5 separate regions of the Mus musculus genome follow, and all the other regions are reported to be linked to region 4. Evidence: microRNA targets listed by miRTarBase, many of them from high-throughput screens and not tested one by one. Region 4 holds a microRNA gene; each other region holds the end of a gene's coding sequence.
The links. Region 4 holds the annotated microRNA mmu-miR-340-5p (UUAUAAAGCAAUGAGACUGAUU, at 1,413-1,434, shown strand). A microRNA usually pairs through its seed, bases 2 to 8, with sites in the 3' UTR of a target mRNA and lowers its output. Matches are read on the target gene's strand: a 7mer-m8 pairs with bases 2 to 8, a 7mer-A1 pairs with bases 2 to 7 and ends in A, and an 8mer does both.

Region 1: miRTarBase lists Pak2 as a target of mmu-miR-340-5p. Seed matches in the 3' UTR shown: 7mer-A1 at 2,091-2,097 and 7mer-m8 at 4,122-4,128.
Region 2: the mRNA of Txndc5 is a reported target of mmu-miR-340-5p. Seed matches in the 3' UTR shown: 8mer at 1,020-1,027.
Region 3: miRTarBase lists Cyth3 as a target of mmu-miR-340-5p. The part of its 3' UTR that is shown has no 7-base or 8-base seed match.
Region 5: the mRNA of Entr1 is a reported target of mmu-miR-340-5p. Seed matches in the 3' UTR shown: 7mer-A1 at 2,174-2,180.

Annotation. Positions count from the first base shown.
Region 1 is chr16:32,014,930-32,021,572 of GRCm38, reverse strand. Pak2 (p21 (RAC1) activated kinase 2) reads left to right here. Exons shown (of 15, transcript NM_177326.3): 15 at 1,307-5,283. The coding sequence ends at 1,393. Among named protein-coding and RNA genes, the nearest start is that of Senp5, 15 kb to the right of the region's middle.
Region 2 is chr13:38,495,449-38,501,841 of GRCm38, reverse strand. Txndc5 (thioredoxin domain containing 5) reads left to right here. Exons shown (of 10, transcript NM_145367.4): 10 at 134-1,576. The coding sequence ends at 256. Bmp6 (bone morphogenetic protein 6) reads right to left here. Exons shown (of 7, transcript NM_007556.3): 5 at 4,471-4,547; 6 at 3,015-3,125; 7 at 1,528-2,923. The coding sequence ends at 2,774. Among named protein-coding and RNA genes, the nearest start is that of Gm31834, 29 kb to the left of the region's middle.
Region 3 is chr5:143,706,424-143,713,066 of GRCm38, reverse strand. It overlaps Cyth3 (cytohesin 3), which reads right to left. Exons shown (of 13, transcript NM_011182.4): 10 at 5,907-5,983; 11 at 5,757-5,828; 12 at 5,518-5,672; 13 at 2,817-5,234. The coding sequence ends at 5,162. It overlaps Usp42 (ubiquitin specific peptidase 42), which reads left to right. Exons shown (of 18, transcript NM_029749.2): 17 at 1,079-1,117; 18 at 1,725-2,742. The coding sequence ends at 1,086. Among named protein-coding and RNA genes, the nearest start is that of Usp42, 23 kb to the left of the region's middle.
Region 4 is chr11:50,068,308-50,073,307 of GRCm38, forward strand. It overlaps Mir340 (microRNA 340), which reads left to right and starts at 1,395; the gene lies at 1,395-1,492. It overlaps Rnf130 (ring finger protein 130), which reads left to right. Exons shown (of 9, transcript NM_021540.4): 3 at 2,864-3,114.
Region 5 is chr2:26,379,154-26,385,554 of GRCm38, reverse strand. It overlaps Entr1 (endosome associated trafficking regulator 1), which reads left to right. Exons shown (of 10, transcript NM_026563.3): 7 at 1-57; 8 at 410-472; 9 at 734-873; 10 at 1,861-2,755. The coding sequence ends at 1,957. It overlaps Snapc4 (small nuclear RNA activating complex, polypeptide 4), which reads left to right and starts at 4,902. Exons shown (of 23, transcript NM_172339.4): 1 at 4,902-5,006.

The sequences.
Region 1 (6,643 bases), not on the chromosome of region 4:
CATGTGCGCATACAGACTTGCATGAAGGAGACTTGCAAGAGTTGATGCTCTCCTTCCAGCACGTAGGTCTCAGAGATGCAGGTCATCAGACTTGTTAGCGAGGGCCTTTATCTGCTGAACCATCTCTTTGGCCCTTAAAAAAGTATGTTTAATTCCATAATTTGTTTTTATCATAGTAGTAAGTTTCTATAATTAATCACTCTTGGACCTGTTCATTTCTGTCATGAGTATACTTATGACTATTAACTCTGAAGAACTAATTTTTGTTTCTTTATTCGTTTCTTTATATGTGGCCCAAGCTGGCCTACAGCTCACTGTGTGCTTAAAGACAGGGAATGATCTTGAGCGTCCTGCCTAGGCAGTGCTAGGGATTGAGCCCAGGGCTCTATGCAGATAAGGCACCCGCTCTGCCTTCTGAGGGATCTCTCCGGCCCCTTAAGTCTGTAGATGGTAAGCAGCTAGCAGCTTACTTGGTATTAGTTAAATGGTTCTCTGGGTAAAAGTACTTGCCACTAAGCCTGCATGCCTAGACTTGATCCCTAGAACCTGCCCCCCCACACACACACACATAAACACAGTTGCACACTAAATAAATGTAATTGAAGAAAATAAAAAGGATCCAGGTGTAATGGTGCATACCTTTAATCCTGCACTTAAGGATCTTTGAGTTCAAGGACAGCCAGAGCTACACAGAGAAAACTTGTCTCAAAAAATGGACAAGTAGAAAGAGAGGGAGTGAGGAGGAGGAGGAGGAAGAACAGAAGGAGAAGGAGGGAGAAAAGGGGGGGTAATTTTTTAGGTAATAAGCAAGAAGATTGCTGTGAGTTAGAGGCCAGGATAAGTTATATACACCTTAGCTCAGAAAGCCAAAACCAGGGCTGGGAGATGTCTTGGTTGATCAAGTACCTGCTACACACTTGAGGACTTGAGTTTCCATCCCTAGCACCCACATAAGAAGCTAAGTGTGGCTATATATGTTTATAAACCCTCGTGCTGAGGGAATAGACAGACCCCCGGGGCTTGTTTGGTCAGCCTAATCAGGAAATACGGGGAAGAGTGACAGAGGAGAGTGTCAGAGGAGAGCTCCTGGCGACCTCTGGTCTCCACAGATGCACACAGATAAGATGAGAGCATACAGCCACAAACAAGCTCATTCACCACACACAAACCACCCCTCCTGGGGCTGTAAAAGTGATGTGCCGCGTGTGAGGGCTTTAGTTTGTTAAATGATCCAGAGGTAATTTGGGGGCTAGAGTTTCTAAATGAGAAACACCTCTAAGCTTTCTCTCTCCCTTCCATTTGGCAGCATCCTTTCCTGAAACTGGCCAAACCATTGTCTAGCTTGACGCCACTGATCCTGGCAGCTAAAGAAGCAATGAAGAGTAACCGCTAACATCGTCACCGAGGCCTCCTATTCCCTTATCCATTTTTTAAAAGAAGTCTTTTAATACATGAAATTGTTACTCTGAGGGGTGTAAAGAGACAGTCTGCATCACATGGAGGAAAAAAAAAACTATTATTTTCTAAAGATGACCAAGAGAAAATTGCAGTAAGAGAGCTATGACTTTGAAATGAGCCCCTGCTTTAGGGTCCAAGAGGAACGGTGGACTGCATCACTAGCCTTACATGTCCCGCAGACCGCGCTTGACGTTCGCATACTGTGTGATGACTTTTAGTATGGCAGATCCTGTTCCTGTCTCCCCTGGGGGATTTCCCATACTTGAATGTCAGATTCAAGTTTTTCTGAGTATTTCATCTGCTGATCTTCTCTCCTTCGTGACCTTCCCTTCCTCTAACCCTTTCCTTTTAAGTTGTCGTTCGGAGTTTTTCTTATGCCTAAATGCAAGGCAGATGTGATAAAATGATTGATGTAGCTCTTTACATTGGGAAAGGAGCTTGACATGCTTAGCTTCCTATAGAAGTCAGGACCGGCTGGTGTGCGGAGTGTTTCAGTTCAGAGCCTAAACTGAAAGGGGGAAAGTATGTGATTTTTACCTTTTTTAACAAATGTGAAAGAGTCAGCTTTAGAAATTTTGTGGTAGTAAGTTTGACATTTGTTACATGTATAGAAAGAGGACTAATAATCTATATTTATAACTAAATCATTGATACAGAGAAGAAAAATCCCACTGACTGTATATTCTCACCATTTTGTAGTCTTTCTCTGCCTGTTTCTCCTCATATTTGGCTTTAGGAACCAAAGTGATCTGCGCTTGTTGACGCGGGCTGTGTGACTTTGGTGCCACTCCCTTCCTGTGTTTCCTTGGAAATAAGTGTCTGTATATGTTGTGATTTTAGGTGTCCGTTTTGAATCAACCCTTATTTCACATACACCCCCTCCACCCTCTAGGGCAAGTAATAACCATTGAATTTTCAGAATTTAAAAGTTAAAAGATTTTTCCTATTTAAAAGGAAAAATATTTGGGACTAGCAGAAACCAAGTGAGATTTGAACCTTGGTGAGTTCTAGGCTAGTTGTAATAATGAAATGTCAATATTGTAGAGGTGAAGTTTCTGACAGTAAACTGTAAAGACTCATCTAATCTACAGTGTTCCTGACCCATTATCAATGTTTTACTGTTTATGACAGATGAAATAGTGCAGTACTTGATGGATCATTTGAGGTGTTGGGTACTTTAGTGTTTGTTTTTCCAAATGAGTAGGGTATTCATTGTAAAAAAACAAAAACAAAAAACAAACTGGAGAAAGGAAACTGCAGTGTTCGTATTGTTAGTAATACTTTTATTTTAAAGATTTAATAAAAGGTCTGTGACCTGTAGTAGTAGCTGTTAGCTGCCCTCTCCCCACTCCTGCCTTTCCTCTTCTCTGCTTCTCTGTATTGCTTTGTTGTTTTGCCTGTGAGGAGGTATTGCTGTCTATCCTATGGTCCTGCAACCATAGGAAAGAAAATCCCTGTGGTTGGTTCAGGTTTGTCCCCACCATCCCCTTTCAAAGAACGTGACACATACTCGCCCTGCCATTCTGCAGAGTACAAATCATAAATGAGTAAGTTTGCTCTTTGGGTTGGGGGAAGGGGCAGGGTTTCATTTCCTGGTGTTCCCATTAGAATACAGGATAAGAAGAGATCACTAGGGGCTTTCAGCAAAAGTCAACATCTAGAGCACTTACTGGCCTGTTTTCCATGCGAGCTCCTTTTCCTCTGGACTGTATTTTCCTACAGCTTTCACTAAATTACAGGAATAAAGTGGTTTCTTTGTGGTGGGAAGCTAGGCTGCCTCTTGAGTTCTGGCTGTGAGTGTTGTTTGTGAGCCGCTGTCTGGATAGATTGTGATGACAGTGCTGCCAGCATAGAAGAAAGCCAGCTACATGGTGGCACTGCTTAAGAAGGTGCTCCATCCTCAATCCTCGAGAGCACCGGGGACACAGGCTGCTGCCCCTCCTTAGGCTGTGACTCCACACCGGCTTGTCCACACAGAAGCAGTCTGGGGTTTGTCCTTAGAATTTCTTGGATGGTTATTTACATGTCCATTGCTGGCGACGGACTCTGTCATTCAAACCTGACTCCAAGGTTAAGGGAGCTGCACTGTGCTTTATTCTCTCCTGACCTGGACAAACTAACCTGGAATAGTTAATCGTAATGGTTAATTTTGAGATGTGTCATTTTTAAACAGAATAATCTTTAAAGCAATATAGAATTGTGATTTATTAGTTAATTTTAAATTAAAATTTTGAGATCCTGTTGAAAGACAATTGTATGAATTGAGATTCTTTTTTTTTTTTTTTTTTAAAGACTTGCCTCTGTATTCCCTCTTTTGCCATCTCTTAGAGTAAGAATCCCCATTGGAGCCTCCCTTAGTCCTCTTGTGTCCTTAGGAACTGTTTGCCCTACCACTTATTTATTACCTTGCAGTCTTTGTGGTGGCCGCAAAGGCATCTTCTCTCCTTCTGCTGCACTCTGTTTACAGAGCACCATAGCCACCCACAGCAGTTAGAAGGAGCGTGAGTGCAGCTTGCTGCACCATGACCAGCATAGCTCTGTCTGCACGCATTGAGTTCCCTTCAACAGACAGCTGTCTGTCCAGTGACCACCAGTCCTAAATGTGCTATGCCGAAATATCTCTTCATGGGCTCATGTGTATGCACTGTGTTCTTGCCTGCATGCTTTATACCTTATCAGACCATGGTTAGAATTAGAAGGTAGGTGTTGAAACAGGCTGCATCCAGTTTTGAATATGAAAATCTTAGAAGCATACTGAGATCTGCAATCACTAAACTGTCAGAATGTATGGGCCCCGTGAGCATTGGGCAGGGGCAGTGTCTGCTTATCCTAGCCACTAGATCAGGAGAAGGAATTCCTTCTCGTTGGCATCTGACCTCAGCAGACACTCCCCCCGCCTGCTCCCACACGGTTATCATAGATAATACAATGTTTTCTTTCTTTTCTGAGACAGTCTTGCTGTATAGGCCTGGTTAGCTTAGATGAGTCTAGCCTGGAACCCACAGCTATCTACCTGCCTCTGCTGCCCAGTAGTGGAATAATGGCATGCACCACTGTGTCCTGTTTAAACTTTTTTCTAATGTCGTTTCAGGCTATATAGTTAATGGGTCCAGGAGTGTAGCTCAGTGGTGAGTCACATGCCTATCATGCACAAAGCCCCAAGCTTGAACCCGTGCTCCACTAAAAACAGTATCTAGGCCACTACTTGACAGTATTGTATAATTTCAAATTTTAAAAAAATTGCTAAAATCTTGTTAAATGTTTCCTTTTGGTTTTCTAACAATCGCACTGACAGGACAGATTGCTCTGTCAGCGCTGTTCTGTGATGCGTATGTGTGATGTTCTGTGAAGTGGCTTTTCTGAAGCTGCGTGTAGGAAACATCCCCACACATTCCCTCTCTTATCAGTACATCCGCTGACCACTCTGGCAGAGATGCTGTGTTTGATATTAGAGTTACGAACAGATTCAAGCATTGGCCTGGTCTTGAAAGAACTCAAGTCTTTCTCATTCACTACCCTATGCTAAAAACAGATAACCTTGTCAAACATGCTATTTCTGCGTCAAGAAAAACAATTAGTTGAAGTTCAAAGAAAGGAGTCACTTTTTTATGTATTTATTTTTTGGTTTGCTTTCCTTGTTTTGGTAGGTAGAAATTGAGTTGGGTAAAAAGCCTATTTCTATTTTGTTTTCAGATTTTATATTGCCTTCTATTTTTAATTTAATCTAACATAATCAACTGTACTTTGCTATAACTGCTGTATTTGTTGACTGAATAATTTTGTTCTTTCAGGGCTAGAAATAAACTTTCATGTCCATTTTCTTTTCTTAAATTTCCATTTTTGTCAGAATAGCATAAAAGCATAAATATTTAAAAGTCTTAACAGATTTTCAGCCGGACAGTGGTAGCACACGCCTTTAATACCAGCACTTTGAGAGACAGAAGCAGGCGGGTCTCTAGAAGGTAGAGGCTAGCCTGATCTACAGAGTTCCAGGACAGCCAAGGCTACACAGAGAAACCTATCCTGAAAATAAAAGTGGGGGGAGGAATCTGGAAAGACAGCTCAGTGGATAAGATCAAAGCTGCTTTTTCAGAGGTCCTGAGTTCAATTTCCAGCACCCACATGGTGGCTTACAACCATCTGCAACTCAGGTTGCAGAGGATCCAACACCCTCTACAGACATACATGCAGACAAAATACCAGTGCACATAAAATAAAGGATTTTCTAAAAAATTAAAAATAAATTTCAAAGAAAATATTAGTATTTTGAAGGGGACAGGAGGGACAGGGTTCCACATAAATAAAAATAGCTAAGACTCACATACACACATACCCCATATCCAATTCCATCCAGTACAAATGCTCACACCCTGAATTTCACAATGTGGGCAAGTACTCCACTAACTGAGCTATATCCCCGCTCTGTGTGCTAGTATTTTAAAGGGTAAATGTTTTAAACCTGTTAATAGTGTCATGGTACCAAATGTTTTTTAAATAGTCTCATGTAGCCCAAGCTGGCATTGAATCTGATACATAGCCAAAGTTTGTCTTGAACTTCTGATCCCCCTGCCTCCACCTTCCAAGTGCTGAGTGAGATTACAAGTTCACACTCTATACTAAAGCTCCAAATTTAAAAAGGTTCTATAAAGGGGGTTGGAGAGATGGCTCAGTGGTTAAGAGCACTGACTGCTCTTCCCGAAAGTCCTGAGTTCAAATCCCAGCAACCACATGGTGGCTCACAACCATCTGTAATGATATCTGATGTGTCTTCTGGGGTGTCTGAAGTGTCTGAAGTGTACTTCCATATAATAATAAATAAATCTTTTTTTAAAAATTCTATAAAGCTGAGGTAGGGGATAGAGAGATAGCTTGAGGGTTAACAGTACTTCATTTTAGCCGGGCAGTGGTGGCGCCCGCCTTTAATCCCAGCACTTGAGAGGCAGAGGCAGGCAGATTTCTGAGTTCGAGGCCAGCCTGGTCTACAGAGTGAGTTCCAGGACAGCCAGGGCTGCACAGAGAAACCCTGTCTGGGGGGGGGGGGGAGGGATGGGGGAGTGCTTAATCTTGCAGAGCATCCAGGTTCAGTTCCCAGCACCTGCATCATGACACACAACCATCTGTAACGCTAGTTCCAGGAGATCTGACGCCTTTTGACATCCTTCTGCACCAGGCAAGCACATGCAAG
Region 2 (6,393 bases), not on the chromosome of region 4:
ACTTTTTGTACATGGATGCTGGAGAACCAAATTCAAGTCCTCATACTTACTCTGTGTGTGGCACTTTACAGACTGAACCATCTCTCTCTCTGTGTGTGTGTGGCTTAAAGCACTCTCTCTTTCTCCTTTAAAGGTACGAGGTTATCCCACGTTGCTGCTTTTCCGAGGAGGTGAAAAAGTGGGAGAACACAACGGAGGTAGAGACCTCGACTCCTTACACAGCTTTGTTCTGCGCCAGGCAAAGGATGAACTATAGGAGACCCCGGGGAAGTCATCCAGCCTGGGCTTAGGCGTGACCTCACACAGACACACGTGTTTTCACTGTGGTTAGTCAGAAAGCTGAATGTATTGAGCTTGTGTTGCTTCCTGTGTGCTCTCTGAGCCACCACACACTACGGACCTTAAGTTTCTCTAATCATGGCTCACAGTCCCTGGGCAAACCAAACGTTTTCAGTGGCGATCCATCCTGTAACCCTTCTCTTGACAGAATTAAATTGGCTCCCTTTGCAACTTAAAATACAGTCAAGGAAAGCCAAATTGCTGAACTCTGCTGGCTCCCAGGGATGTAAGGACATCATCTCGCAGGAGCAATTTGTTGCATTGCCTGAGTTTTGGGAAGGAGGCCTGCGGCACTGTTGACTTAGTAAGGTGTCGGTCCATAGTGTACAGATTTCAAAACAAAAGCCCACAGAGCCCTGGAGATCCCTTCATAGCCACTGCTGGGTTCCTGGGTCTCATTACTTCTCTAGTGGAGAGAGGTAAGCCATAACAAATGGTACTTCTGATGTGTGCCCCAAATACTCATGCTGTTCAAAGGATCCTCTTGTCTGCTTCGCATAGGGTGGAGTGTGGAGATGTACGTCTTCTGCAGAAAGGGAGGGTATGGGATGCACCACAAGGTGGGTCCTCACCCGATAGGCTTTCCCAGGTCCAAGGACCAGGGAGTCTCTGCAGCTCCTCTCGGGCCTTCCTAGAAACAGCTTCTGATTCTCTTCCTAAGTAGTTCTTTTAGCAGCTCGCTTTATAATCTCCACCTTAAAGGAGGCTGACCATCTCTCTAATGATTGAGCAGTGGGATTCATCTGACCTCCAGACCAAAGACTGCAGTCGGCAGGGCTGCCCTTGCCTAGGAAGCCCAAGGTTGGATATCGCATGGCTACTTCCGGTTCCCGCCTTCCAGGTTATTAGACGCCGCTGCTCGTAACTCTGTGAAGATGCAGCCCACGTCATGCCTCTGTCTGTCTTGTTCTCAGAACCACTGTGTTTGTGCCCAGGCCCTTCACCTACCTCCCACGAGCGGGGTGAAATCAGCACCTGGCACAAGACGTGTAGCAAGGAGACTTGAAACCAGACCACGTCTGCTTCCAAAACATCAGGAGCAGAGGCGCCCCGCCAGCCTGTTATGAACGTTTATTATTAATCACGTGTGGGTCACAGCTGTCCTTGGAAACCAGTTCTGTTGGCCCAGCTCACAGTGGCTTCAGCTTAGCATCATGGTCTTATATGAAAAGAAAACTCAAGTGGTACAATTTGGTTTATACTTTCTAAATAAACTTTTTTTTTTTAAAGAAAAAAAGTCTGGTCTTTGCTTAAATGTTACAGCAAAATGGATATAAAATAGACAATAAATTATAGTTTCTATTTACAAAGAAGGCTGTAAGTACAGTTACAGATTGTAAATGTATTATTTAATCAGTTTAGTATGAAATTGGCTTCCCGGTACATGATTGTGAAAAGGACATTTAAAAAATATTCTAAGATTCAGTCTGAGTCTTACTTTCTACAGGAGGAAATGGTGGTTTTGGTTTACACACAGCATGCTCACCTTGACAAACCCATTCTTACAGGCAGGGCCCTTCCCTCTCTGGGTTTCGGCTTTAGACTCTAGCCCTGAGCCATGGAATGCTTAGGTAGGGAAAAGGCAAAGAGCAGAGTTAGGGGTTACAGAGCCGATGTTGGAGCCAGTGTTCCTGATGTTAACACGCATGTCCAGCCAGGCTGCCCACGAGATGTAGAATCAAATTCTGCTGTTCTGTGGCTTAAATGACGGCTACGGCAGATGCTTCATGGCTCTGCCACAAAGTACGGTCTGTCTACTTTGGGTTCTAGTAAAGAATTCTGTGAGGGAGGGAGGAGGATGGGGTGGAAATGCTACAGTTTGTCTTGACAGAGATTAGTACATTCTCACACCACCGAGAGTCAACACAAAACACGTAACTACAACAGTAGACAGAAGGCACCTCCACAGAGCCTGCTGATGGCCAGGCTGCAGGTCCTGTGTGAGCTGCCCTTGCTGGGAATGGAACCTGAAAGAGTGCCCTTCTCCCCTCCATTCGGATGTCTGCAAAAATCTCCCTGGGATGGGTGCTGTAGAGCCACCACCGGGTCTTTCAACCCAGGGATATTTAATATTCCTTCAAGTTTACTCTCTACTTACACCACAAGCAGCTAGATCTAAAAGCTAAAACTACTCCGGGCGGGGTTGGGGGAGGCGAACATTAGGTAACTGCAGTTTCCAGGCCTGTACTACAAGCCTTCCAGCTTCCTGCAGACCAGCAACTGCTCAGTTAGGAACTGGGAAAGCCCTTGACAAGGTCCTCATAAAAGCCTCCGTGGGTAAGGCACCAGCGGGAGATGTGTCTGCGTGTCACGATCCCTCTGTGTGTCACCATCCCGCTTCGCTGTGCTGTTGTTCGTGGTTTAAGGCAGATGTTGTTGTTAGGAATCCAAGGCAGAACCATGCCCCCACCCACACACACACACCAGCTTCAACTTAATGGCAACCACAAGCTCTCACGACCATATTCCTGTACTTTTTCAAGATGACATTGGAGTTATCATCGAAGTAAAGAACCGAGATGGCATTCAGTTTGGTTGGTGCGCAGCATGGTTTGGGGACGTACTCGGGATTCATAAGGTGGACCTGTTTCCAGAATAGAAGTGTGGGAGGGCACTGTTAGAAATGACACCAGATCTAGGCTCGATCCCATTTACAGCCGGGTTGGAGCACTCACCAAGGTCTGTACAATGGCGTGGTTGGTGGCATTCATGTGTGCGTTGAGTGGGAAGGAACACTCTCCATCACAGTAGTTGGCAGCGTAGCCTTTGGGTGCAATGATCCAGTCCTTGAGATAAAGCAAAAGGAAGCAGTGAAGGATCACCAGGCAACCCTATTCCATCTGCACTCTCAGTGGCCCCAAGAGAAGGCTTTGTCCGTGGTGCACAATATGGGGACATGCAGGGAGTTTTGGGAATTGCCCAAGTTCACATTCAAGTGAAGTTTGAGCCTGTTTGTCAGACCCTAGAGCTTCCAGTCTTTCTATGGGCTCTTAGCTGCTAGGAACCTGTTAGGTCTGGGATTAAGTGGGTGTGATGGTTTGTATATGCTTGGGCTGGGGAGTAGCACTATTAGAAGGTGTGGCCCTGCTGGAGTAGGTGTGACCCTGTTGGAGTAGGTAGGTCACTGTGTGTGGGGCCTTTAAGACCCTCATCCTAGCTTCCTGGAAGCCAGTATTCTGCTAGCAGCCTTCAGATGAAGATGTAGATTTCTCAGCTCCTGCTACACCATGCCTGCCTGGACACTGCCATGTTCTGATGATACTGGACTGAACCTCTGAACCTGTAAGCCAGCCCCAATTAAATGTTGTCCTTTCAATGACTTGCCTTGGTCATGGTGTCTGTTCACAGCAGTGAAACCCTGACTATGAGAATGGGTGAATGGCTCGAAGTACAAATGCTCCTTGGTTACACCCCAATAAAATGCCAGTTGAAAGTGCGCACAGTATACCTAATGTCCCGAGCATCCTAGCTTAGCACAGTGCACTGTGGGGCTGATCAGGAGCTGTAGCTTCTGCTGCCACCACTGAGGAGAGGAGACTATAGCCCAGAGAAAGGCTCAACTTCGAAACTCAGAGTACTAGATCCACTGAACACACACAGCTGAAACGTGGTCAGTTAAAACATTGGAAGCCGGGATCTGTTGTGTGGACTTGGACCCAAAGGATCCTCTGCAGGATCCCATTATGTTCCTGTCAGTCTCCCGTTTCTCATCACATCTAGAGCTGGACTTGGTGTATGGGCCAAACATGTTCTTCTATGCAGGGGCAGAGCTAGTTTAGAGCTACTGGAGAAATGCATCACTTTTTTTTTTTTTTTTGTAATCCTGTTTCAAAATAAAAGTTATTCAAATGTACAAATAAATATGCCCATCCCCTTGGACTTTGAAAGGATGAGGTAAGACAGAAGTAGGCCTTGGGTTTGAGGATGTCACAGAGCTTTGAAAACCCACAAAAGGACCAGGGTGCACCACTGGGTATATCAGCAGGCTGGATTTTCCTGTCTTAACTCCAGGGGGCTTGAACATTTGAGGGCTCCTTGGATTGCTATGGCAGCTCCAGGAAGCTGATGACAGCAGCCATTGGTGAGAAAAGATCAAGGCACCTACTACACCCTCCTTACCCTGAGACTCACCTGCCATCCCAGGTCCTGGAAGCTCACATAGAGCTCATGCTTCTTGCAAGCTGTTTTTAACTCACTGCCGTTGTAGTCTGTTGGAGGACATAAAAAGACACACTTGTTAGCTCATTTGCTCCTTCACTTAGAAACTTGTATGAAATGTTTCCTCTCATACATCCCAGGCAATGGATGAGGCTCAGGACAGCTGTTAGACACATGTGGCCCCTACAACAGCTCAGTTGAGCTTCCAGTTGTTTGCCCAAATTTAGAGCCACTGAAGAAATTAATCATTAATTTTTTTTTCTAATCATGTTTCAAAAGAAAAGTTGTTTAAGTGTTCAGACCCCCTTTGGCTTTGAAACAGTGAGATAAGAGTAGGCACCGAGTTAGAGGGATCATGGAGCTTTAGGGCACTCTCCTCTTTGTGTTTGCTTTGGATGATTGATTTAATTTGGATGTTGATTTAATGGGCACCTTTAAGCAACAGATGTGTGTTGTGTAATCTGCTTCACGTAGGGTTTACAGAGGGATGTGTGGAGATTTCCAGTGGACTTGAAAGATGATACACAGGTGGCTGTACTAAACAGGATTGACTATATTTCAGATGTGAACTATCCAGACATGGCATGGGACTTTGGAGATAGCTTCTGTCCCCCCCCCCCCCGCCCCCTGCCAAAAGAATGTCCTGAAGAAGTTTTATGATCAGGAGCCAACCAGGAGGCTCAGAAATGGAGGGAAGGGTGAGACCATGCTCTCCCATTGAGCTCCAGCCTCATTGCTGGGGTTGAGACCTATATATGTGTCCTGAAACAATCATTCCAAAATCAGCAGTTTCCCCCAAAACAATCTGTTGAACCTGCCTGTGCAGTTCAGGAGCCACTGGCCTGGCTTAACAACCTCTGCAGGAGACACGGGAGCACTTTGATTCATTCCAGCCAATCAGAAGAGCTATTTTGTGACATGGGGAGCAGATAGATGGATTTCATATAGCTATGCCCTCCAAGAATTGGAGTCTGAGCAAGGCTGTGAGCTACATGTACTCAAGTAGCTCAAATACAACTCAGAATACAAGTGGTATGGTCAAGGGTCATGGGTCAATACTCAAGGGTCATAGGTCAATACTCAAGGGTCATGGGTCAATACTCAAGGGTCATAGGTCAAAACTCAAGAGTCATGGATCAATGACTCCTGAAGCTTGTAGAAGGGACAATGGGAGTGGGGAACAGTTCTGCTGGGATGGACTGGAGGACTCATAAAGAGTTGGGAGATACAACTGGAAAAATGAATGACTCAGAATGCCAACAATGATGTGAACTTTTTATTAGAGACATGAAGGAAGACTTCAAAGGGGTTTGAACCAGCGGGCTCAGAGCTATGGTTTTAAAGGGCACATGGATGCGTTTGTTAGGTAGGAGAGGACAGAGAAGGAAGGGAGGATAAGGAGCCAGTTTTTGGAGGAAGAGTCTTCCTCTTACATGGTTAAGAAGATATACAGAATCCAGATCTCTCTCTCTCTCTCTCTCTCTCTCTCTCTCTCTCTCTCTCTCTCTCTCACACACACACACACACACACACACACACACAACCTCTGCCTTTGTCAATCAACTATACAAACCAAGGAGTTACCTCACGAATGTATTTGCACTAGATGTAAACACTTATCCTCTTAGAATTCCCAACCCCAAATCAGAAGAAAGGGTACAGAACTCAGAATTCTGTAAAGAAACCATGTCAACTGAGGCTAGTGGCCTGGGAAGAGAGATGTGGGTCAAGTATTTACTAATTCTAAATATACACACATCCACTCCATTGCCACCCCTGTCAGTTCCTATGATGCCTACCTGACCTTGCAGAACTCTCTCTCCACTTTAAGTCTACATGAGAAGGAAATTCAGAGCAACCATGGAGGGCAGTTCAGAGCAGGTATAGAGGATTCTC
Region 3 (6,643 bases), not on the chromosome of region 4:
TGTTTTTATGTGCACATCTTTGTGTGTGTTGTACTAACTTCTGAACCCCTAAATGCACTAGTGTACCCCAGCTCCTAAGTCATAAATCAATAGTGTGATTGATCTCTAGAGGTGTAGCTGCAGTGTGGGGCTCTGGTATCCTTCAGGCTGCTGGTTTCTGGGGTGGTTCTTGCTGATCTCTAAGTGAGTAGGTCTGTATACAGCAGCCCCTGTGCCTTGACTTTCCTATGTAGTCCAGGCTAGCCTGCACTCAGAGTTTTATGTTAGCATCCTGAGTGCTGGGATTACAGTCCAGTGCCAGTGTGCTTGGCTGCTTTCTCTCCGTGAACATTCATTCTCTCTGGACAGGAGCATTGGGCTTGTAGAAACTGCATAGGCTGTGAACATCGGTGGGGCTAGTGCAAAGGCTGGCAACCTGCAGCCAGTCTAGCCTGGAGTTAGGAATGGCTCTCAACAGTTCAAAGTGCAGAAGACTGGCATGTGTTCACAGCGAGCACCGAGGTGGGAGGGTCAGGGTCAGTGCACTGTGGAAGCCCAGGTGCTATGTGTTAGCTCTGGTGCCACTCAGTAGCAGTGGACATAGCCTGTCCACTGAGACGTTTCTCATCACCTGGCCCTTGATATAAAAAGCTTGACAATTCTGCCTCGGACACCCAAAGATCATGGTCACAAATAAAGGACATGTGTGTCACTACAGAGATGTGGGCATCTTGGTGACCCCGAGTGGAACCTTCTGCTCCTTGGCAGTCCATTCATACACTGCAGCTGGATCTGCAGCTAGACACCGCTGCTCTGGGTCTGACACCAGCCCTTCCTCCAGCTCTTTGTATGACTCAGCTCATTGCTTCAGCCTGAAAGGATGGTCACCCACCCGAGAATGTGCAGCTCTGTGCTGGGGCTGAGACCTGGTCCCTCTTGTGTGGCTCTTGACGGTCCTGTGCCGGTGCTTTGTGGCACTGCCAGCTCATGCTGCTATCCGAGTGATTTTTCAGCAGCTGATAATGAGCTGTAGGAACTGATTATCGTTAAGTCTGCAGAACACACGCATAATAAAGATGTTCCTTACTTTGCCTTCTAGGTGACTAAACAGCCTTGGCCTTACAACAACAAAATTACGGTAAGCAATTGTCCCCGTTTTGGTCATTTGTGGAAGTGCTGAGTGGATATAGGTGGGTTTTCTGGTGAAAACCAGGGGTGGTGAAGGGGAGGGTCCTGGCGTGTCTGTGCCTCTAGGACTCAGTCACTAGCTAGCATCCAGATGTGGAAATTGTGCTAAGAAATGGAGTTAAGTATCTGAGAGCAGAGAGAGGCCAAACAAGGGTCAGGGTATATCTGGTTCCTAATGCTGGTGTTGTGTTGTGTGGCCCTGAGACACAGGAACTCAGAGCCCGAACTCTGTGATGGAGGGCAGGTCTAGTCAGCAAAGGCTTTAAAATGAGCTGCTGCTCTCGCCTCAGCTAATTCGCAGGCTTCCTCCGTGTCATGGAGACAAAGCCTCTGGGCCTCTCTCCTCCTCTGCCCAGTGAACGTGGTGTCTGAGGGCTGAGTGATTTGCAGCTTGGGGCCCAGCAGGTGGCGCTGCCCTGGCATTCCAGGGTTCTCTACTGCAGTTCAGGAAGGTAGAGAGGCAATTTCAGGAACTTTCAAAAGCCTTGGGAACACATCCAGAGAGTGTGAGACCAACCTCTGTTCGTCTAATGCCTGCTGCACCTCTTATCTTTCAGATTCAACATTTTGAACAGAAGCCATCCCCAACCCAGCTTAAATTATAAACATAGAGAATAACTTTGTCCGAACTGCGTGGTGCTTCTTTAGTACATACTGTACAGAGTTTACCATGGACAACTGTTTCTTTTTTCTTTTTTTTCTTTTCTTTTTTCAGTTTTTACCTTTTCTTAATTGCCCTTATTCCAAACGGATACTTTCTACACTGCTGAACATTGTAAATTACCGTGTACATAAAATCACACTGACAATAATGCCCTGGAATAGACCATCTCAAATGCTGCTTAACCACAGACTCAGGTTGACTACTTGTATCTCATGTAATGTTCCTCCACGCTAGACACCTGGTGCACGGCCAGCTGGGAACCATGGACTTCAAAAGGACAAGCGACAGTGCGTCTATTTAAATTAAAGACTTATTTAAAGACCCAAGCTCTCAGCGAGACCTTCGAGGGCTTCCTCTGCAATGTCTGATATAGAAACTAATTTGTTCACATTTTAGTTGTATTCAAGATTTGAAGATGTATTTTATAGACAAGTTCTGTTTTTGAACTTTGTGGAACTATTCCAATCAATTTACCAGTTATGATGAGTATTTGCATTATGAATGTATAATCCAGACATTATTTGTAAAGCCTACAGTATGTTTTTTTTACCTAACACTTTTTATACTGTGTCTCGTCTCGACAATATGATATTGAAGTCTGAGTCGTCAGCTTGATCCCTTCAAGTTTCTAGTTACAGACAAAAATCATACTGTGATTTTATTTTTAATATGGATATGCTATAAAACTGTGACACTTATAATTCACTGGTCCTGCATCAGGAGACGGGAGTGGGGAGAAGACTGTATTTAATACAGTGTGTATCTGAATACTCTGTATGGTTTATACAGTTTGTGTTGTTCAGAGATGTCTAAAGTTGATCTTTGTTTTTTTAAGATTAAAAAAGCACTTGCCCCACTGTATATATACGGCATGTAAGATTTATATAGTATATAAATGGCAGCAAATTAAACAACCGTCTCAGTTTTACTCTGTTCTCCGCAAGCTCATAGCCATGTCTGTTTTAAAGAATTGAGTCTTAGGCAGTTTTGGTTTTAGCAGTATGTTTTTATTTAGGGAACACAGTATTTGCAATAGTTCTGACAGCCGTAAGGCCCTCCATTTTACTAGCTGTTTGCTTTGCAATAAAATAGCCAGAAATTCTGATATCAACATTAATAGGATATTTCTTCATGCAGGTTGTAGGAGTATATACATTGTATAACACTGAAGAAATTAATACATATGTACATTATTTACATAGTAACTATTTATTGTAAATAGAAATGTTTTCTAAGATAAAAAGAAATCACAACATGGTTTCTGGTCTGTAACGACCTAACTTGTCAGCAAAGCACACCTGTAGCTCTGAACTCAGCATGACAGGAAGCACAGTAAGTCCCATCCCCAGACGGTTCCTAGTTACTCTGCAGTACCACATCAAGTCTTCTGAAACCCAGGAATGATGCCCAGGGCCCAGCAGGACAGGGAACTGTCTTTGGGCAGAGTAGGGCTTTAATGCTTCACTGACGAGTGCAGACAAAGGGTGAAGGGCAGGAGTGCCTGAGCCTTTACAAGCTCTGGGAGTGGCAGATGCCCTTGGGTTTAACACTGTCACAACATAACCTGAGTTAAGTGACTCCATGTGGATACTCCAAGAGCCAGTAACTTAGGATTCTTAGCACCAACAGCCATCAGGCAAGGTCCCCTCAAAGATGACTATGGCATCAAAGACAACATTAGGTAGCCTCATGCTTAACGTCCTGACCTCAATATCCCACAGAGAGCTCTGTTGCCCAGGGCCACACCTGGGTTGAACATCTGACCGGCTCACCATGGTCCTGATTGAAAAAAATGCCAGTTCCTACCTCCCTACAGGTGCCCCACCAGCAGTAAATTCAGGTCTGGGGTGGGGAATAGGGGATAGGGATCATGGAAGACTGGAAGCCAGGCTGCATACACACCAGCCAGGCAGCTCAAATGCAAGGGTTTCAGATTTGAGGTATCAGTAAAAGCAAAGCCTAGAAGCTTGGGAATAAACCAAAAAGTGATCAGTCTGGTGCACGAGCGAGGGAGCTCTGGCCTGCACATCCTTCTGTGCCATCTTAGATGGCAGCTACCACCAAGGTCAGGCAAAAAGCCTTAAGACAGCTCACTGAAAGTCTCGTGTAAGGGCATTTGGTTGGCGGTTTTCAAGGGCTCTCAGAACACCAGCTCCACGTGCAGGGGAAGACCATTTTCCAAATAAGCCATGAATGGGCCCTCTCATCTTACCCAGTCTCAGCCCAAGCACATATGCCCTGAAGGCATGCACTGGTGTGTGTGTGTGTGTGTGTTAGGGGTCTGGATGTCACACGTGTCCCTCAGTGCCATCTTCAGTTTTTCACCTCCTCCAAAGGATGTCAAATGTTGGAAAACATGGCACTCCAGAGAACAGGTGGATTACTTCTGGCTGCTTCTGCTTGCTTACTACATCAAAATATGTGTTAGCACTTAACCCAAGTTTGAAACAGCAAGCAACAAAAGTACCAAAGTCATGAGCCATGTGCACTCGGACCACATGAAACTGTCCTGTATGAAGGTCAGACAAGAGGAGGTTCTGCACATAAGTGGCCTGTTTTCCAGAGAAGGAACTCCATCTCCAGGCCTTGGCACTGACAGGATAAATACCCCGGCCATAGCTGTACCTTACTGATTCATCTTAGAGAAGCATGTGAGGGGAAGTGGCAGTCACGCCTGAATCTCCCAAGCACACTGCTCTCCACACTCACCCCAATGCCTCTTCACCCAGCTGACACTCTGTCAGGATGACTGTGCCCCAGCTGCTCTGGCCCCAAGTGCATGGGGGCTGCATATATAGACTGTTTTCAGTGCACAGTATATACGTGTGTCCAGGAGTTAAGTTTATAGCTGCCATTCTAAAAATACTACTGTTAGAAATTAAGTATCTTTCATTATAATTTTCAGAATATAAAAAGGCATATAAAAGCTATAATCCTATATATCTGAGAAAAATTCTGAATAAAAAAGTGGTAGGTTTTCCTTTCCCATTTTGATATAAAACAGCGACTTCTAGAACATCTAGTGTTGCCCCAAAGAGCAGGTGTGGCATGGTGTGGGTGAGGCTCTGGCTCCAGAACAGGAGTCCCATGTGGGCTGTGCAGATCTGGAGGCTGTATCACCAGGTGCTGTTGTGGACAAGGGTCCCCAAAGGTCAATGCCAGGCCGGTGGCAGGAAGGAGACACTCCCAGCTGACCAATGTCCCAGAGCACAGGCTTGAGGGCTCAGGCCTTGGCTGGCTGTTCTGGAGGGCCCGTGGGCACCACATCGTCCCCGGTCCTGCCGCTGGGGAGGCCAGTGTATCTGCTGGAGTCTGGATCCTGACATTTACCTATTTCTTATTGGCAATCCTCCTTTTCCTCGTGGCCAACATGTCATAGAACGGGTCCCTACTGATGCTTGCTCTGGGGAAGAAAGGAAGTAAAGTGGGCTGGAGCTTCGAGAAGGTCTGGCTGCCTGCCTCACCCACAGCTTCCCAAGCAGCAGGGTCAAGGGTGAGTTACCCAGGCTGGCCTGCTCAGTTGCTGACACACTGAGTAAAGGCATCCAACATGCATACACGTGCCCACACCCCTGACATGCAAACACGTGTCCACACACCCCTGACATGCACACGCGTGTCCACACACCCCTGACATGCACACGCGTGTCCACACACGACTGAGCAGCCTGGCTGTGCCCACTCACTTGATGGACTTCATCCACTCCTCCTTTTCCTCCGGGCTGGGGGCAGAGATCCGGTACACAACGTGGTTGCCCTCCACCACACGGCCATCGGCCTCCGTCTTGCAGGCCTTGATGACTTGACCTTTGTGACTGGGGTTATACAGCTCAAAGCAGTTCTGACAGAGAGAAGGGGGTGAGTGTCAGGGGCGTGGGGGTTGGGTAGGGTGGAAGGCAGGCCGCGGGCACAGGGCAGCACGTACCGGCTTCCGGGGGTCCTCCACCTCCCTGATGCTGAGGTTCTCCAGGGGGATGATGCCCCTGGGCTCCTTGTCCTAAGAGAGAGGCATGTGAGGCAAGGCCTGACAGACACGAGAATGCCAGGGCTTCGGAGGGTGTGCGGCCTCACTTACCGTGGTGTACTCAAAGTAGTAGAGGCAGTTATCTGTGAGGATGAACCAGCGCCGTTTCCAGGTCTTCACACGACCCCCTAGGAGCAGAAGAGCCCTGTGAGGCAGGTGTCCTGGCAGCTGGATCCCCAGGGCCCAGAGTGGGGCCCAGAATCCCCTACCCCATATCACTGCCTTGATCAAAGGCCACAGGAGCCAAGCTCATAGCTGGGCTTCCTTCCTCTTCAAACCATCCCATATGACCACAGTTATAAGTCAAGGGCAAGCCATGAGGCCTGACCATCCAGGATGGCTGGGTGCAGGGCTGGGGCCCCCATGCACCCCCACCCAGGGCCCACGCAGGAACTCTTTCTCCATGGCCACCCAGGGTCACCCTAGGTCACACACTGATTTAAAATCTGCTTCCTGGAAAAGTTAGTTGTAATGGATGGGTGTAATATTTCCCCCGTGAAATGAACACGATGAAGTCAGTGCCGGCTCACACAGGTCTGTCCAGGCTTAATCCTGTTACGTCAGGGTTGTTATCGCATTACTGGGACTCTGAGCAGCCCTGGGATCCATCAAAGTCAATTACTCTTGGCCCAGGGAATTATTAGATTGAATTAATCTTTTAACAAGATCTGGAGCTACACACACACACACACACACACACACACACACACAGAGTTATCTGTAACACACAGGGTTATCTGTAACTAACACACACACACACACAACCACACACACAGAGCGCTATCTGT
Region 4 (5,000 bases):
TGTTGGAAGAGGAGTGTATTAGTAGAGTCCAGCTTTGAAAGTTTAAAGATTCCCAAAATTTACTGCTGTTCTCTCAGCTTAGTGCTTATGGTTCAAGATGTGAGACTGGAGAGATGACTCAGAGGTTTCCAGGGCATTCTTCTGCTCATGGAGAGAACCTGAGTTCAATTCCCAGCACCCACAACAGGTCTCTCACAACTGCCCGTATCCCCCCTTCCAGGGGGTCTGTGACTCCTGGTCTCCACAGGCAACTATAACTTGCATGCACAAAGCTACACACATAAACACATAATTGAAATTAACAGTGTTTTTAAAAAGGTGTGAGTTCTTGGCATCCAGTTCCTACCTACAGTTTGCTGCCATTCTTCCCCACCATGATGGAACTATAAGCCAAACAAGCCCCTCCTTGTATACGTTATGTTGGCTATGATGTTTAACCACAGCAGTAGAAAAGGAACACATAGCTGCATGATTGTTGAACTCCAAAGCCATGTCTTGGTGTTTCAGAACACAGGCATAGGGGTGATCTGGTCACATTCTTTGTATCTGTTTAATGTTTCCATTACTTCAGTCTAATTAACCCCTCTCTCCTACCAGCTACTGCTACTCTAATCCTAGTTTTATCCTGAGGGTTAAGTTTCCTCTGTTGTCATCATCCCTCCTGAATCTGCACCAACTCTCCCAAGAGTTTTTTGTTTTGTTTTTAAGGTTTATTTACTTTTTTATTGTGTGTGTGTGTGTGTGTGTGTGTGTGTGTATACCTGCATGAGTCTATGTGCACCATGTGTACAGAGCCCTCGAAGGCCAGAAGAGAGTGTCTGTTCCCTCTAGAATTGGAGTTACAGTAGTTATGAGCTGCCATATTGATGCTGGGAACCAAACCTCGTCCTCTGCAAGATCAACCAGTGCTCTTAGCCATCTCTTTAGTCCCATCCCCATTTGTAAATGTCTGAGCCATCTTGTTAGGCTCTTTGAACCCAGCCCAGCTCTAGATGTTGGGGAGAAAGAAACTTTTTTCCTAGGAGGGTTTGTAGTTTGCTTCATCACCTTCTGTAAGAGATCACTGCCTTCACTAATATCAGATGTGCTGCTGTACTTTTTTATTTGATCATTTTCAGTCTCCTTTGGCAACATTGCCCAGTCTCCTCTTTTTGCTAGGATGATAAAGCTACAGTGAGATCTATTCACTCTTGTCCTCCTAACAGTGAATATTGACAAGTGTTGAACTAATTAAATTTTTCTTTCCCAAACAGCTTCCTGTTGAGATTAGTTGACGCGCCCATTTAGTGTTCGGTTAAGGAAATTACTGGATTGGTTGCCTTGGCTACCTGTGCAGCTCTCCCCACTTCCAGCTTGAGTCTTCAAGAGGGAGCCTCAGAACTGATTTCTAAAACCAATTGTACTTGGTGTGATTATAAAGCAATGAGACTGATTGTCATATGTCGTTTGTGGGATCCGTCTCAGTTACTTTATAGCCATACCTGGTATCTTAACACCACAGATCATGCCTGTTGATCAACATTGTAAAAGCACAAACTTAAGGTTTCTAAATGGAAATTTAAACTGGTTTAGCATTCTTTTATGATTCTTTTTAACTCACTCACCAGAGGCAGATGTTAACTTAATAATGCTAGTTTTAATTTTGTTGTCTCCTTTTTGTTTATAGATTTTTTAAGCAAAAATAAACTGGTAAACTACTACTCTAATAAAGTGAATAAACCGTTTTGAATACAGTATTATGCAAATATATATTCCATTGAGCTATATTTTTTTCAAAACTTCTGTTACTGAGTTTCTGTTGTGTCTCATCTTGACTGCTAAAGGTAACAAGAAATCAAAACAAGTGTTTCTAATATTTGTTGACAGAGCCTTCAAAAGGTCAGGTCTGGGGTCTCTGCTTGCTGTTTTGAGAGGGTATTTTGTGTTTGGATGCACAATCCTCCTTCATACTCACAAAAGTGACCTTGGTGAGTAGCTGCTCACTCTGACTTAAAACAGGCCCTTGAAGCCATGTGAGAAAAGGACTTGAAAACACAACTGAACCATCCTTGTAATTAACTTATAAAAGTTGTGCCTGTGGGCAGAACTCTGAACAGCTTTTAGGAACTGAAGGTTTTAGGTATCATTATGGGTAGTAGTCCAGAAAGTTGAAACTTGGGCCTGCCTAGAGGATTTGAGTGCGCTGGGCATGGTTAAACAAGGTGGAAAACTAACATAAAACTCAAGTCTGAGGCTAGCCGAGGCAATGTGAGATGCTGGCTCCAAACTGGGTGGGAAAATTGTTGCGTTTGAGCTCCAGAAGTGCCCTGGAAGGAGCTTTACTGTAGACAGAAGACCAAAGTTAGTTTCAAAGGTTGTTGGTAAAAGATGTTGCCGTTCGGCACTTGTCACTCCATAGCCAAGTGTGTGCCCTAAGAAGTACCCTTCTTTCTGTTTCTTAGAGCAGTCCTTGCTCAGCAGTGCGTGTGAGGATGAGTAGTGCAAGGACCACCTGTTCAGACTGTAAATGACAGTGCTTCTCTGTCAGAACTTTCCAGATTGATTGCTATAGAAAGGTTTTCTACTGAAGACTTAACCTGATTTAGTCACAGGTGGCTGCTTTCACAGTGCTTCTAATGCACCGGTAAGGCAGTTTGTGCATTGTTAACACCACAGTTGCTTTATGCGTTACCTGTTTGGAGCACTGTACATGTTCTCATGCCTGTCAGTTTACACAGCTGCAGCCTCATGTCAGTTGAACTGGAATCTATAAACCTTAGTGAAAATTATGGTAATTTCTCTATGGAGCATATGTGTATATTTATTTGATGTGTCTATGAATTTCAGATGTCACTTTAGTCTGTGTATTTGTTTTACATTACAGGCACGGGAGATATTATTGCTGTCATGATAACAGAATTGAGGGGTAAGGATATTTTGAGTTATCTGGAGAAAAACATCTCTGTACAAATGACAATAGCTGTTGGAACTCGAATGCCGCCAAAGAACTTCAGCCGTGGCTCTCTAGTCTTCGTGTCAATCTCCTTTATTGTTTTGATGATTATTTCTTCAGCGTGGCTCATATTCTACTTCATTCAGAAGATCAGGTACACAAATGCTCGGGACAGGAACCAGGTGAGCTAACCAGTACTCTAGCCAGCCGTAATCCATGAGGATCTTGTGATAATACTTGTTTATGTCATATATTTAAAAACAAGACCAACAACAACAAGATAAAAACATGCCAAGTATGGTGCTGTACCCTGTAATACCTGCACTCGGGGTTTTGAGGCCAGTTGGACTACGCAGGCGTTCCAGGCCATATTCTATCTCAGTTTTAAAAAGAAAAAGAAATGAAAGAAAATGTTGTTCTACATAATCACACTGTAACTATCAAAGTCAGTAAATGAATGTCCTTTCAGTACATTTCCTGACCTATCGGCTCTCTCAGGTTCTCCAGAACTGCTTAGAAGTATCCTTAAGGGCAACAAAAACCCCAGATTAGTTAGGCCAGAATGTGTGTTACATTTAGTTGTGCTGTCTCTTTACTGCTTCCTGATACTGGCATCTCAGAAGAGCACAGGTCTGTGTCCTGTGTCTTGTGGTTTCGGTCAAGGTTGTTTGCATTTTGTCAGCATCACCAGCTCCTTTTAGTATTAGGGTAGTGGTAACCTTGCTCTTATTTATTGAAGCAATAGAGATCCATTTCCCAAGTGGTTGCATCTTGCCCAACAGTAGTGAATATCACAGCACAGATCCATGGCTGTACTGGGCCCACTGATGTCTTTAGAGCTGTCCTGTTTAATATGTGCTCATGGACATGTGTGCTTCTGTTCAACTCCATTACATGCAGATTCATGTACTCAGCACAAAAGCTGTAGGACAGGTTTGTTTGTTTGTTTGTTTTTTGGTAAGGAAAGGGTCCAATATTCTCTCATAGCCAGAGACTCTCCCTTCCCCTAACCGTTCAGCACCACTAACTTAATCTTCATCTAGTGCCATTTCAAGAGTGTTGAATAGACAGAGTGTACTTCACCTGGAGAGCTGTGTTTCTTCTTTGTTCAGCAGAGTTCCCTTGAAGTCCTTCCAAGCTGTACACATAAGTAATTTTCTTTTTATTGCTGAGTACTATTCCACGGTATGGATGTACTATAATTTACTTAGCTATTCACTTATTGAAGGATAGCTGAATAATTTTCAGCTAGGGAGTCTAATAAATTAGCTATGATGTTCATGTACTGGTTTTTGTCTGACCATGAGTTTTCATTTTCCTAGAATAAAAGTATAATACTGAATAAATAAATGTTTAATTCAGGTTTGTTGTTGTTGTTGCTGTTTTTAAAGTGTGCCCTTTTCCAGTGTGTGGCTGTTCCAGTTTCTCCACATCTTGACATGATTTGATAGAATAACACTTCTTTTGTGATTATAGTGTGCATTTCTCCCATTGTCACCTATATGAGCATCTGTGTGTGTGTGTGTGTATGTGTGTGTGTGTGTGTGTGTGTGTGTGTGTGTGTATTATGTCCACTGCACCCAAGTTTGTGGGTACAGAAATGTAGTTTCATGTCTTCATACTTGTATAGCAGGCACCATGCTGACAGCCATCTCCCTACCCTGAGCATATTTTCAAGTGCTTCAGTGAAATGTCTTGAGTCTCTTCCCTGTTTTCTTCCTGAATTCTTTGTCTTTTACTGTTGAGGATTTTAAATCCTTGTCTCTGTGCACCACTTGCATACAGTCACCTTGGAAAATAGGGAGAGTGTTAGATATCCTGGGGCTGGAGATACAGGCAGTTGTGAACCACCGTATGGATGCTAGGAATTGAACCCAGGTTCTCTGGAAGAGCAGCCAGTGCTCTTAACCACTCCTTACCATTGAGTTTTTAGACTCTTTATGTATTTAGATATGATATTTGCTATGTCTGATAATGTGCTTTAAAATATTTTCTTCCCAGTTTGTCTATTCAGTCACTTTAATAGTCTTGAAAAACAAATTGTTAAGGATTTTCTAATTTTGGTAAA
Region 5 (6,401 bases), not on the chromosome of region 4:
TTCCATGACCTCGAGTCAGTAGTCCAGCAAGTCGAACAGAACCTTGAACTGATGACCGTACGGAGGGGCTCCGCTCTGGGGTAGTGGGCAGGGCCGGGCTGCTGCTGCAAGAGAGCACTTGTTACTGTTGCCAGAGTCCACAGCTGGACCCTGAGCTCAGCAGGCGGCTCTCACCGTGCTGAGTGTGTGAACTGTAGTGGGCCAGCATACGCTGACACTGTGAAAGGGTTCTCTATCGGGGTGGGTGGTCCCTGATGCTGGTCCCAGGGGTGGGCACCCATGGGCAGGCACCCATGGGCAGAGGAATCAGGAAGGTAGGTTATAGCGCACTGCTGCCTCCTGAGGTAGGTGTCCTGTATTAACACAGCCTTGGTGATGTGCATTGTGTTTATTTTTTTGGGGGCCACAGAAACGGGCTGTAAAAGCAGAAAATCATGTCTTGAAGCTGAAACAGGAAATAAATTTGCTTCAGGTAAGTAAAGAGAAAGGTTTGGCTGTCATACATGTGAGTTCAGGGAGGGAGAAAATAGTGTAAGCCAAGCACAGCGGTCGGAGCAGTCAGGAGGCTGAGGAAAAGGATAGTTGTACATTTAAGGCCAGCCTGGGCTACAGAGGCAAGAAGCACCTGTTTTGAACAGGCCAGGGCCAGGCTGGTCCCCGTGTCCAGATGTGTGCCCGTCGTGATGCAGAGGCTGAATTGCCTCGGGAGCACTAACTTCGCCCTTCTCTCTAGGCCCAGCTCTCAAACTTGAGGCGAGAAAATGAAGCCCTGCGGTCAGGCCAGGGTGCCAGCCTTTCTGTAGTGAAGCAGAACACCGACGTGGCCTTGCAGAACCTCCACCTTGTCATGAACAGTGCACACGCATCCATAAAGTGAGTCCCCGGGCGGCCTCTGGCTGGACCAGCAAGGGAAAGGTGCTGACCGGCTCAGTCATACTATAGTCAATCAAGTAAGAGTGGTCTCTTGTTTTGAGACAGGGTCTCACTCTGTAGCACTGACTGGCCTGGAGCTATGTACACTAGGCTGACCTTGACCTCACACAGATCCTTCTGCCTCTGCACTCAAGTGCTAGAGTTCAAAGCATGCACCCCCTCACCTGGCTTGGTTTTTTTTTGAGGGATTTTTGTTTTGTTTGGGTTTTTAAGACAAAGTCTCCCTGGCTTCTCTGACAGTATGTGTAGACCGGGTTAGCCTCAGACTCAGAGATTTCCTGCTTCCATTTCCCAAGTTCTGGAACTTGAGGTATGCATTATCATGCCCGTTTTAGGATTTTTATTTTTGATGTTCCAGAGAACCTTCCCACTAATAGGTGTGGATGATGCCATGCCTCTGAATCCAGCTGCTTTGCCTGTGTACGTTGCAGCTCTAACTGAAGGGGAGAAGTCTGCCACAGTGAGCATACTGTGAGCTAGTCAGTTGGTGATGATAATGGTGATTAAACACTCACCAAAGCTGCAGCTTGTTAAACTTGTCAAGATGTAGTTAATTCATCTGACCTATTAAACACAAAAGCAAAGTAGTCCCCCTGGTAGAGCTCTCATGACTAGATATGGGACTTGCGGTGGGACTACTGCCCACATCACTGAGAGTACTGCATCATCAGCTTGGCCTAAGCAAAGAGCAAAATTCAGAATCAGTTTCTGATGAACTTATCTGGCTTGCAACCTACCATCTTTAGTTGCCTTCCCTAAGCTTCACTATAGGGTGGCTGGCCTGTGCACAGGCACATGGGCCAGAGGGCAGCCACACAGAATCCAGTGTGGCAAACCTGGTTGATAGCTCTGGGCTCTCTCCTTTAGATCTGTCTCTGGCTGCCTTTGCACGGCTGAAATAATGGCCCTGGTCTCTCTCTGCTTTAGGCAGCTGGTGTCTGGGGCAGACACACTGAACCTTGTTGCTGAAATCCTCAAGTCTATCGACAGAATTAGTGAAGTTAAAGATGAGGTGGACTCTTGAGACGCTCTACCTGCCACCGGGTCCCGTCACCTCTGCACCGAAGGCACCACACATCTTCCGAATGTGTTCCTGTCTATGCAGTCCTCATCAAAGCATTTCACGGCCTAATCATGTGACTGGCCATCTGCAGTACGGGGCTCCTTTCCACCAGTTGAACCTAACAGTTTACATGAAGTCCCACTGTTCGATAGACTCACTGATTTACTGGAAGACACTTTTATAAAACCACTAAAGCTGAAACGACAGTTTTGTAACAAGCTTCTTTCACCACCCTCTCTAGGACGAGGTCGGGCTCAGCCTCAGTGTTGTCAAGTGGAACACGAAGTGAGCCAGTGTGTAAGTGAGCAGCCTGTACAGAGACGCGTGCCTCACTGAGGCAGCACCGCTTGGTACGTGCTGCCGTCCTCCCACCAGGACCATAGGACCAAGGTCACACACTGTGCACAGTGCAAAGCTTCATACACCCTCTACTGTGTGCTGTCAGCTTTGGAAAGCCATTTGGGGCTGTCGATTTTGATGCACGTTAATGTGTTTGTGTGCCTTTTGTATAGTGCAATTCAGACTGGAATTAAAGCACACACCCACCTGGGGGGTCAGCACCAGCTCTTTGGGCTGGCTGGCTGGTTTTTGAAGGACAGGCAAGACATAAGCAGCTCCCTGTGCTGTGCTGAGGGGTCAAGGTTTGGGGGCCACTTTCCTATAGGTTGTTTTTTTGTTTTTTTTTTTTAATTTATTTTCCCTTTTCCCCTCCTGTTGAGATCAACAGCTTTCTGATCTAAATAAATCTTAAAGATCATTTAGACTGTCTTGTCATTTACTCAGGGATTCATGCTTGAGAGCTACCCTGCTCTTTTAACTTCAAGGTCTGCATCTGAAGATATTCCTGCAGGGTAGTGGTGGCGCACGCCTTTAATCCCAGCACTCGGGAGGCAGAGGCAGGCGGATTTCTGAGTTCGAGGCCAGTCTGGTCTACAGAGTGAGTTTCAGGACAGCCAGGGCTACACAGAGAAACTCGAAAAATCAACAAACAAAGGATATTCCTGCCATTGCTGGGTTATCGGACCCTCAAGTTCTTGACCCTTGGAGTCAGGCATTCACAAGAGCCACTACATCAACATATCACAACATATCACATACATATCACAACATATCACATACATATCCCAACATATCACAGAGCCACTACATCAACATGCCGGATGAGCCACATCCTAGCTTCACACTAAGGCTGGGTGGATGGACGCCTAGCAACTAAACCACTGGGCCCTTTAACTCACAGCTTTTTAGAAGCTGTCCCCACCCCCAGAGCAGATCGCAGTGCAAGGTGGCGGGACACAAAGGAAGACCAGGCTAGTGTTCCCTCTGCTCACAAGGCTTGAGTCAGAGCTGCCATCAAGAGGAACCGTCAGCCTTTCTCCACCACTGCAAGTGAACCGGATGAGAGCTGCACAACTACACTACTCTCAATTTACGTATGAAGTGTTCCTAAAGTTGTACAAGCACCATAGAGCATGGTGGTACATGCCTTTATTCAGAGTACCAGGAACAAAGACGATCCCAGTTCTCAATCAGTCTGTTCTACATAGACTGTCTCAAGAAACAACAGTACCCCAGGGAAATTTGCCTGATAGTTCTTACCAGGCTTGCCCCACACAAGTTCCTACACCAGGAACCTACAGGTTTCCTTTAATGCCCCAGACTCCCTCTGGCCAAACCCAACTCTGGGCCAGACTTGATATGACTCTTATTTTCTTTTTTGAGACAGTGTCTATATAGTTCTGAAACTTGCTTTGTTGTATATCAGGCTGGATTTGAACTCACAGAGTTACACCTACCTCTGCTTCCTGAATGTTGGATTAAAGGGATGCACTATTACTCTTTGATTTCATGATTCTGTACCCACTCCAGTAGTGTTGCAGGTGACTTCTAGCTTGTAGTCAGTTCTCCATAAGACCAAGGCCCTTCCCAGGTCCCACAAACTGGCCAGTCGCCAGGCTTGGTTTTCACCAGCCTTGAGCCTCAAGCCACTGCCATGCTTCTCCTACTCACAGGCATTATTAGGCACTAGGAGGACCCAGCTGCCTAGGGAGAGTAGAATTAAGGAAGCTGTTAAGAATTAATAATGGAGAGAAAGTACCCAAGGAGCTAAAGGGATCTGCAACCCTATAGGTGGAACAACATTATGAACTAACCAGTACCCCGGAGCTCTTGACTCTAGCTGCATATGTATCAAAAGATGGCCTAGTCGGCCATCACTGGAAAGAGAGGCCCATTGGACTTGCAAACTTTATATGCCCCAGTACAGGGGAACGCCAGGGCCAAAAAGGGGGAGTGGGTGGGTAGGGGAGTGGGGGGGAGTGTATTGGGGACTTTTTGGATAGTATTGGAAATGTAAATGAGGAAAATACCTAATTAAAAAAAAAAAGAATTAATAATGGGCCGGGCATGGTGGCTCACGCCTTTAATCCCAGCACTGGAGAGGCAGAGGCAGGCAGATCTCTGAGTTCAAGGCCAGCCTGGTCTACAAAGTGAGTTCCAGGACAGCCTGGGCTATACAGAGAAACCCTGTCTCGAAAAAACAAACAAACAAAAAATTAATAATGGATAATTATTGGTATTTTGTTTCATAAGAGTGAGACCGACCCCCCCCTCCCCGCCCTCCCGCCCCCCCCCCCCCACTACTTAGCCAGCAGCTCTGTGATGTGTTGGCCAGGCAGAATAATCCTTAGTGAATGAATGTCCATTTCTGGCGGTCCCAGGTTGTGGGCTCCGAGGACGACACACACGGGAAAGTACTTAACGACACACTGATCATTCATCCAAACCCAGAACACCAGGAGCTAAGTACACAGCCCAGGGAACCTGGAGAAAGATGAACGCCTCGCTAGGGCCCCGCCCCCCAGCACACCTCCTAGCATGCCCTGCGCCGCAGCCTGGGTGGGACTTCCGGTGCAAGCCTACTGACTTCCGCGACTGCTAGAAGCATGATCTGCGTGTGGTCGCCCGGGCGATGATGCCAGCTGTGAAGTTTGGAAGGGATGCCTAGAAGGTGAGGATTGGCGGGCGGCAGGTAGCAGGCGTTGTGTCCAGGAGGGGCAGGGCAGCCAGCACGGGGAAACCGAGGCGTGGCGTGGCCGCGACATTGCTGGAGTGGAGAGCCCGCGTCCGGAGCCCAGCCGAGGTCCCCTAGCTGGTGAGATGCAGGACCGGATTTGCTCCGTGCTGTGCTCCGAACCGCTGCTCTAACCGGTTGCATGCGCTGCAGCACCACCGGCCACCCCTGGCTTATCGAATCCAGCCACTAAGGGTGCATTGGACCCCAACTGCCTTGCCCGGTTAGGCCTTAGAAGGGACAGGCAGCAAAGTGTCTCTGATGTCATTAAAGGCGGACCGTGGCTCCCAGCTCAGGACTTGAAAACGTGACTTTTTCTTCCTTTATGTGGGCGATGCTGTGGGAGGAGATGGAATTGCTGCTGCCTCAAAACACGTTACTCTTTCGTTGGTGGCCAAGCATCCAGTGGCAATGATTATTGCTACATCTGTAGATCCCGCTGTTTCTAGCCAAGTTGGTTGACAAACGTTCCCTGTATAAGTAATTGGAATGTCGTTGAAGGGGATTTTGTTTTGTTTTGTTGTAGTCAGTTAAGACTGCTGTCAACAACTTAGTAGGAAGAAATCAAACAGGATGTTTTTCTTCATTTCTGGCTCTGGGTGTGAAAATGTGTTTGATAATTTTGTTTGAAACAGTATCTCACTAATGGTTTGAAATGCAGAGATCCACTTAGTTATGCCCCCCAAGTGCTGGGATTTAAATTATGTGCCATCACACTCAGCTCTTTGTTTCTTTATTTTGGTTTTTGGTTTTTTGGGTTTTTTTTTTTTTTTTTTTTTTTGGGCGGGGGGGGGGGGGGTGGATTTTCCGAGACAGGGTTTCTCTGTATAGCCCTGGTTGTCCTGGAACTCACTTTGCAGACCAGGCGGGCCTCGAACTCAGAAATCCGCCTGCCTCTGCCTCCCAAGTGCTGGGATTAAAGGCCTTTGCCACCACGCCCGGCTCTTTATTTTGTTTTTGAAGACAGTTTCTTTTAGAGCTCTGGCTGACCTGGAACTCACTCTGTAGACCAAGCTGGCCTCAAACTCAGAGATCCCCCTGCCTCTGCCTCCTGATTCCTGGGATTAAAGACGTGTGTCACTATACCCGACTTCTACACCCAGCTTTTTACAGTTATTATACTTGTTTATTTCCTTGTGTGTAGGTAGATGTGCCATAGTGGGGGAGGTCTGAGGGAAAGCTGGAGTAGGGTCTCTTCACCATTGATTACTGGTCCTGAATTCAGGTCCTTAGGCCTGGTAGCAAGTGCCTTTGTATGGTGTGCCATCTCACCCACCTGAGCTTGTGTTTTCTAGAATCATCTTTCACACTTCTCTTCCAAATTTCCTTTGC